2 linked regions of the Arabidopsis thaliana genome follow. The protein of the gene in region 1 interacts with the protein of each later gene in a pairwise test. Each region holds a gene or a part of one and is shown in the gene's direction. Other genes may lie near its edges. The genes, in order: C2 and PYL4.

Region 1 (3,929 bases):
GTGATGCAGCTCCTTCAAAGGTGTGCCTATTGTTTATTCACCTACAGAGGATGAAAATATCTTAGTTTTGAACACTCTATAACAATATTGGCATTGTAGGCACGAGTTCCTTCAAAATCATGGGGATTGGATCAACACAGTGAAGCCAGCCATTGATCCTGTGATTTTATCACAAGTGTGTGAGAACCCAGAACTAACCAATGAAGAGACTGAGAACCTGAATGCTATCAGAAACGAGACTCGAGTGGCTATTGGTTCACTTCTCAAGGTATTCCTGCTCTTCCATGACATGTCCACAACTTGAGCGAGTTAGTTTATATGTCTCTTGACTAATCTCTAATGGTTCCCAACTCTGTAACGTTATGTATCAAGGATGATGGCATTCTGGTAATTCCAACATTGCCAGCTGTTCCTCCAAAACTTGGTAGCAAGGAGATAACATCTGAAGACTATCAAAACCGAGCTTCAAGTCTGCTTAGCATTGCTAGCATATCAGGATGTTGTCAGGTTAAATCTCTCTCTTTCTCTCTCTCACCTGCCATGCTAGTAAAGTTCCCCTCACACATGTTAAAAGCAACCACTGACCAGTCAGTGTTAGCAAAACCAATCCACAGTATATGTGTCTTACATTTATCGTGCTGATGATTCAGGTGACTGTGCCACTCGGACATCATGAGAAATGCCCTATTTCAGTTTCTTTCATAGGAAGACACGGTGGTGACCGCTTTTTACTAGATACAGTGCAGACAATGTATCCATCTTTGCAAGAGTACTCGAGTATTGTTACCGATCCCAAATCTTCTAAAAAGGCTATCACCAAAGAAGAGTCAGCCGAGATTGCCAAAGAGAAGGTCAATTAATATCCATTGCATGTCTCATTTTCTTAATGGCATTATCATCCATAATCTAATGTGGTTATTATATCTTTGTGTCCCGTGATTATGTAAACCAGGGTAACCAAGCGTTCAAAGAGAAACTATGGCAGAAAGCTATTGGTCTATACTCAGAAGCTATAAAGCTAAGTGACAACAATGCTACCTATTACAGTAACAGAGCTGCTGCATATCTTGAACTTGGAGGGTAAATGTTTCTCAGATCCTTAAAAATACTTTTTAGTGAGCAAATCTTTCTATGTGGCATTGCCTTGACAAATCATTTACATACAGCTTTCTTCAAGCCGAAGAAGACTGTACCAAAGCCATCACCCTCGACAAGAAGGTAACTTTCATTAAAACACAGAAACAGGTTTCTCTTGAAAAAAAAACACTCTTTACTTTGTAAGAACACACAACACAAAGATCGTTTTTGATTTCTTTCAGAATGTTAAAGCCTATTTACGAAGAGGAACCGCAAGAGAAATGTTAGGCGATTGCAAGGGAGCCATAGAAGGTAAGCTTTAAAGAACATAATCTGATTGTTTTTTCGCCTTGTAGAATCTGGCAGAATATAACATAAACTCTGCAGATTTCAGATACGCACTTGTGCTGGAACCAAACAACAAACGAGCGTCTCTCTCAGCAGAGAGACTGAGAAAATTCCAGTGAGCTTCTTTTGTCCGTACCTCACCGATCATTGAGAAAACGTTTGTTCCTTAGAATTTGTCCAAGAGTATAGGCCAATTTTGTCAACACTTGTCTTTTGCGTCTGATATTTAGGCATTTTATCTAGAGATACCTTTTGCAAGTCCGCCGAGAATGGAAAATTATAATATCCGATGTTTATTTTAAACGTTCTCTAAAATTGGATATCAAAAAGTAATGTTAATCTTAAACACCGGATACCGGCATTCCCGGTCGACTTCTAGTCAGCGTAGCGTCAAAAATAAGGTCATGTCTTTAACTATCTTGTCTTTATCATTTTCTTTTCTCGCACGTTATCTCCTCCCCACGACTCAAAAAAAATAAACAGAAAAAAAGAGGAGTAGAAACCAAAGAGACCTGCCCTAATATTTAGCGATGATAGTTTGAACGGAACGAAATCTGACGAAAGAAACTAAAGAGACCTTTGAATTATCTTCACGGGTGAGTTGGTTCGTTTAACCTTTTTTCTTTATCTCGGTTGTGCTTTTCCCCGAGAATTAAACGTGTGTTGGTTGCAGCGTTAACAAAAAAAAAGGGTTGTAGAAAGTGAGTAAGGAAGAAATAATCAGGAACATTAATAAAGGAAATGACAACGGCGTGTCCGGCGAGGACAAGCTCACTAATGGACGATCTCTTGGGCCTCCTTAGAATCCGTATCAAACGTGGCGTCAATTTAGCCGTCCGTGACATCAGTAGCAGCGATCCTTACGTCGTCGTCAAGATGGGCAAACAGGTTAATCCATTCATCATTTTACAACTTCACATGCAATTTCATTACATCAAAAACATTCTCAAATTATCATATTAAATCTTACAGAAATTGAAGACTCGTGTCATTAACAAAGATGTTAATCCAGAATGGAATGAAGATTTGACTCTCTCCGTCACAGACTCCAATCTTACCGTCCTCTTGGTACTTTTTACTTACTAAAACATACATTAATTTCCTTATCATAAGATGTTTATATTGATAAAACTATAATGTTATATGTAGACGGTGTATGATCACGACATGTTTAGCAAAGACGACAAGATGGGCGATGCTGAGTTCGAGATAAAGCCCTATATTGAGGCTTTGAGGATGCAACTCGATGGACTTCCTAGTGGAACCATTGTGACCACGGTTAAGCCAAGTCGTCGTAACTGTCTAGCCGAGGAGTCACGTGTCACCTGGGTCGACGGCAAGCTCGTCCAGGATCTCGTTCTCAGATTGCGACATGTGGAATGCGGAGAGGTCGAGGCTCAGCTTCAATGGATTGACCTCCCTGGCTCCAAGGGTCTATGAATCTTTTTTCTTTTCTTATTTACCGTTACTTTGAGTTGTTTTCTTTCAAATTGAACTAAACCAAGTAACAGCATGGAAAAAAACAAGTAATTTCAATCTTGAAGGATATAGTGAACTAGAAACACGTATTAATCCATGGAAATATAAGGATTAAGAACGTTGAGGGAAGTTTTGTTCCCATATGGTGATCGAGTCCAAGTCGAGTCGTGGTGGTGGATATGTAAATGTGGTGTATTGTTGATGTGTATGTATATTTGGGCTAGCTATGCCTTAAATAAGGCATTTACACGAACAACTAATACAGATATTTTATTTATTTAATTATCGTTCCATATACTTATGAATGGTAGATTGTTTTAACACATGTGATGTACTAATGTTTATAGGTAAAAAGTGAAAAAAAGACCAGCATATTACCATTTACCATCGACATCGATAGGCCTTTTTTAAACCATTGACATTGGAGGTTTTATGTGTACGTTACTGAAGCACAACTTATGTAATTTTTGTGAACAAGATTTACTTGTACATTAGCGCTAATTAAGGTCATAAAGAATAATGATGAAGAAAGAATAAAATATCGAAGGGAAAAAGCCAGAAGCCACAAAAGGGATGGTAGGTGAAGAGAATCCAGATGTACACTAATGAGTGAAGCACCATGGTTTTATAACGACAAAACACGTGAGCCATAATTGTCCTTTACTATGAGTGGCACGGCGACTTTACAATAATGTGTCAAACGACCGTGACAAGAGTGAAGTGTAGTACTAGTATGTGATATTTTTCTCTATTTAATAAAGTAAAAGATTCGACTGTAGTATGATAGTATTGAGATATATTCTAAATTATGTATAAAGTTTGATAGATCCCAAGGGACCCAAATCTCGTTCCCCAATGAGCGATCTAGAGATTCCTCTTCCACCAACTCCCCAAAGTAGTCAACATTTTTTTACCAAAACAACGATTTATTTGTAGAATAAAATCTGTCAACATATATATTGCATATAAATGCAATTGCAAATGTAGTTAAAAATATATATAAACCATAACTTAAAATGAGTGAC
Region 2 (3,929 bases), on another chromosome or scaffold:
GAGATTATGAGTTCATGAGATTAAACTATAGGCTTAAGTTCATATTTTCCAGTTAGTAAATAAAATTCTGCTAGCCAAACAAAAAAAGTTGTTCCCTACCAAAAAAAACAAAAAAAGTTGTTGAGGAGAGGAAATTGTAAGCTTTGATGAAGTAGAAAAAAGAAGAACTTTGTCATTCCCCCCACGTGTAAAGAGACTTGCCATCGATCCTTCACAAGCTTCTCGTCACCACTCCTTTCTTCTTTACACTTAATTTCCATCTTCCTTCTGCTTCTACACGTCCACATGCAATTTTGCACCGAGAATCCTAATTTGTGTCCTTCATTTTAAAGGTTTAAAAAGCATGTTTATAAAAACATGGAACTGGATGGTTTGTGAGATATGCCATCAAATTAGACAAAAGGGTCCATTAAGCCTGTGAAAAAAAAAGAAAAAAAAAACTAAGAGACGATCATAAGAGTTAGGTGTGACCTGACAAGATTCTTGTACACCCGAACCCGACTTGTGAACTGTGAAGTCAACCTCTAATTAACAGTTATTTTTTATTCCTACAAATACGGATCCAACATTATTCTCAATTAGTTGAAGTAATGTCTGTCTATTTGCACATTTTCAAACCCATAATCAAACAAAAGTTACATATCCTGACCCGCTGACCATATTATACACTCATCTGTGTATATCTCAAATCTCACTTGCAGGTAATTCTCTCTAGTACTTTTATGTAGATATATAGATATTAGTAGAATGTTAGCAAGAAAAGATGTAAAACATATATATCAACTATATTAGAACCCGTCCTTTGTGCGAGTTTTTGATTTTTATGATAATTTTAAGTTAACAAAAACTGAATTAATTTTGCTTTATATATTAAGATGTGTGTGAAGCTCAATACACAATATTAATCTATTCTTATCAAAAAAATTTATATTCAAAATTTACAGCAATTATAAAGAACTAATAGCATTGTATTATGACTTATCATTAAGATGGGGTTTGTGTCCATGTCCGGAGTTGTTAAAGGTTTGAAAACCCAGAGTTATGAATGTAAAGAAACAAGACAGAATGCTTGAAAACAGAGCATCAAGTAAATGTTTTGTGTTTATATTATTATGCAGCTAAAATGGAACCGGTGACGGCATTCCAACTTGGCCAATGGATGTCTAGACTCGCTATATTCTTCAAGGCAGACGACACATTCTTCCCCAACCTCGAAATTGAATTCCTCGACGGCAACAAAAATATATCTTCGAACGTTTTGTTGTGTCTGATCAGCCAACTCCACATCTTTAGGTAAACTCTAATATCCTAGAGAATAATAGAAATCTATAATACTAGTTACAATGTAGAAGAAGAGACAACCTATAACGAAGCTAGATACTATAGCCAACGTAACCAAACCAAACAACAAAAGTATGTTGTGATAGACCAGTTTTTCTTTCCAAAATACGGCCCAATTAAAAGTTTGGTTCTAAAAACAATTTGGGCCTTAGTTTGTATAGTTTAAAATGTGTTTCTTAGTGAGGATTGGTTTTTCATGCCCTTTTGTTTGTGTGCTCCTTTTTTTGTATATTGAAGATCATATCAAAGCAAAAGCAATACAATACTTTTCATTCAAAAAGTTCCTCCTTCTGCTTGTTCATCAAATCTCTCAGGTAATTAAATATATGGTTGTACCACTTTTAGTTTTGTGGTATTCGGCTCTGATGTTGAATACTTCAAATATCTAGATTTGCATCTGATGCAATTGAAAACCTTTTTTTTTTTTGCAATTGAAAACTCATATATATAGTATGGCTAGATATATGCAATTGAAAACTCATATATCTAGCCATACTATGAAATAACAATTGAAGAACTTCTAAGTTGAAAGAATTCTCACTTTGTATGTTTTGATGAATTTGATCTTACATTCCAATCGTTCCAAATATCGAAACTCTTAAAGCGTATTCAATCAAACGAATCTCGTCCTAGATATACCTTGGTCATTTCAAGAAGAAGAGAAAAAAGTTATGGTCAAGAAACTAAAAGTCTAAACCCATATTATAATTCTAGTGTTGATATACGAGAATTATATATTGGTCACTTGCCCAATTAAAAATATCGTGTATAGAAAACAGTCAAGTCAACAACTATAGCAAGGGGCAAAACCGTAATTTCACAACAAGCAACTTGCTCGGTTTTTTCGTTATCACCACTCACATGAACTCTGCATTAAAAACTCTATCTCTCTCAAATCGAAAGGCACAGCCCAACTTTTCGCAAGTCGCTGTAAAGTTTGATTTGCTTCTTTTTATATACACACATACTTCTCCTCCATACACTTTCCTCTTCAATCCTCAGTTTTTTTTCTAAGCCCTAATACCATCTCAAAGAAGAGATCAAGATTTGAAATCAAGAAGACACCATTACTCAGATCAACATGCTTGCCGTTCACCGTCCTTCTTCCGCCGTATCAGACGGAGATTCCGTTCAGATTCCGATGATGATCGCGTCGTTTCAAAAACGTTTTCCTTCTCTCTCACGCGACTCCACGGCCGCTCGTTTTCACACACACGAGGTTGGTCCTAATCAGTGTTGCTCCGCCGTTATTCAAGAGATCTCCGCTCCAATCTCCACCGTTTGGTCCGTCGTACGCCGCTTTGATAACCCACAAGCTTACAAACACTTTCTCAAAAGCTGTAGCGTCATCGGCGGAGACGGCGATAACGTTGGTAGCCTCCGTCAAGTCCACGTCGTCTCTGGTCTCCCCGCCGCTAGCTCCACCGAGAGACTCGATATCCTCGACGACGAACGCCACGTCATCAGCTTCAGCGTTGTTGGTGGTGACCACCGGCTCTCTAACTACCGATCCGTAACGACCCTTCACCCTTCTCCGATCTCCGGGACCGTCGTTGTCGAGTCTTACGTCGTTGATGTTCCTCCAGGCAACACAAAGGAAGAGACTTGTGACTTCGTTGACGTTATCGTACGATGCAATCTTCAATCTCTTGCGAAAATAGCCGAGAATACTGCGGCTGAGAGCAAGAAGAAGATGTCTCTGTGATGAGTCTTTGTCGTTGTCGGGTAGTTTCGTTAGATCCGACGTCGTTTTCTAGATTTTTAGCCGTCGTGTGATCTATGTTTTTTCGGCTTATGTGTGAAAAAAAAGTTACATTAGTGAATTAATCTCTCATGCATATCATAATCCTTCTTTTAATTTTTGTATTTTACATATCCCATAAAGAACCGATTTGGATAGCCCTATTCCGGCTTTCACCACCCAAAGATAATAATATTCAAACTGAAAGAATGTGGTTGTGTTGTCCGCTAATTAAAAGTGTGATTTTCAAGTTTAATTAATCTTGTTTTTCTATAGTTTCATCAGAAAAAGCGTAAATGAAATGGTACAATATGATGTTCGACTCGGATGTATATTAACTCGTTACATTGAGTTGTTGGCCATCTAATGTGTGTAGATAAATTTACGTACGTATAAACAGCTTTTGTGAAATTCGACGATTTTTCTTAAAGGCAACTTTAAATTTGGGCATAATATAATGTGTTCCTTTCCTCTATGATTTAACTAGGTCCTCAAACTTTTTACTTTCTTATTATTTCATAATAATTAAAATAACCGATTGAGCGTGAAGTTGTTATTTAAAAATCAAACATTTGATAGAGAATTCAAGATTTGAAGTTTTTATTTGTCATCATAAACTATTTGGTAGAAAATAGGGAGTAGTTGGGGATTTTCAGGCTTAAAGGTAATTGCGTAAAATGGACAAAACATACATGTATACAAAAATATGAACATGGCCGTCAAAATATAAAAAATAAAAAACGAACATGTTGATGAATTTAAAGAAATAAAAATTTGCAAGTGGACGATGCTTTGAATGATAACCCAACAAGCCAAGCTGTTCTCTTCTTCTTTTTTTTTCCCGCTT

Evidence for each region.
Region 2: the proteins of C2 (region 1) and PYL4 interact in a protein complementation assay, tested with the Arabidopsis thaliana proteins (one study listed by BioGRID).

The regions. Positions count from the first base shown.
Region 1 is NC_003074.8:6,150,251-6,154,179, forward strand, and holds C2 (Calcium-dependent lipid-binding (CaLB domain) family protein), read left to right. Parts: upstream 1-1,811; 5' UTR 1,812-2,021; intron 2,022-2,098; 5' UTR 2,099-2,166; coding exon 2,167-2,313; intron 2,314-2,397; coding exon 2,398-2,493; intron 2,494-2,574; coding exon 2,575-2,865; 3' UTR 2,866-3,564; downstream 3,565-3,929. Other genes in the region: TOC64-III (translocon at the outer membrane of chloroplasts 64-III), read left to right, coding at 1-20, 100-268, 373-507, 651-851, 953-1,080, 1,167-1,218, 1,320-1,389, 1,465-1,544. UniProt on the Arabidopsis thaliana protein: Mediates the transient calcium-dependent interaction of PYR/PYL/RCAR abscisic acid (ABA) receptors with the plasma membrane and thus regulates ABA sensitivity. Stimulates the GTPase/ATPase activities of YchF1, and regulates its subcellular localization.
Region 2 is NC_003071.7:16,047,829-16,051,757, forward strand, and holds PYL4 (PYR1-like 4), read left to right. Parts: upstream 1-2,089; 5' UTR 2,090-2,422; coding exon 2,423-3,046; 3' UTR 3,047-3,528; downstream 3,529-3,929. UniProt on the Arabidopsis thaliana protein: Receptor for abscisic acid (ABA) required for ABA-mediated responses such as stomatal closure and germination inhibition. Inhibits the activity of group-A protein phosphatases type 2C (PP2Cs) when activated by ABA. Can be activated by both (-)-ABA and (+)-ABA.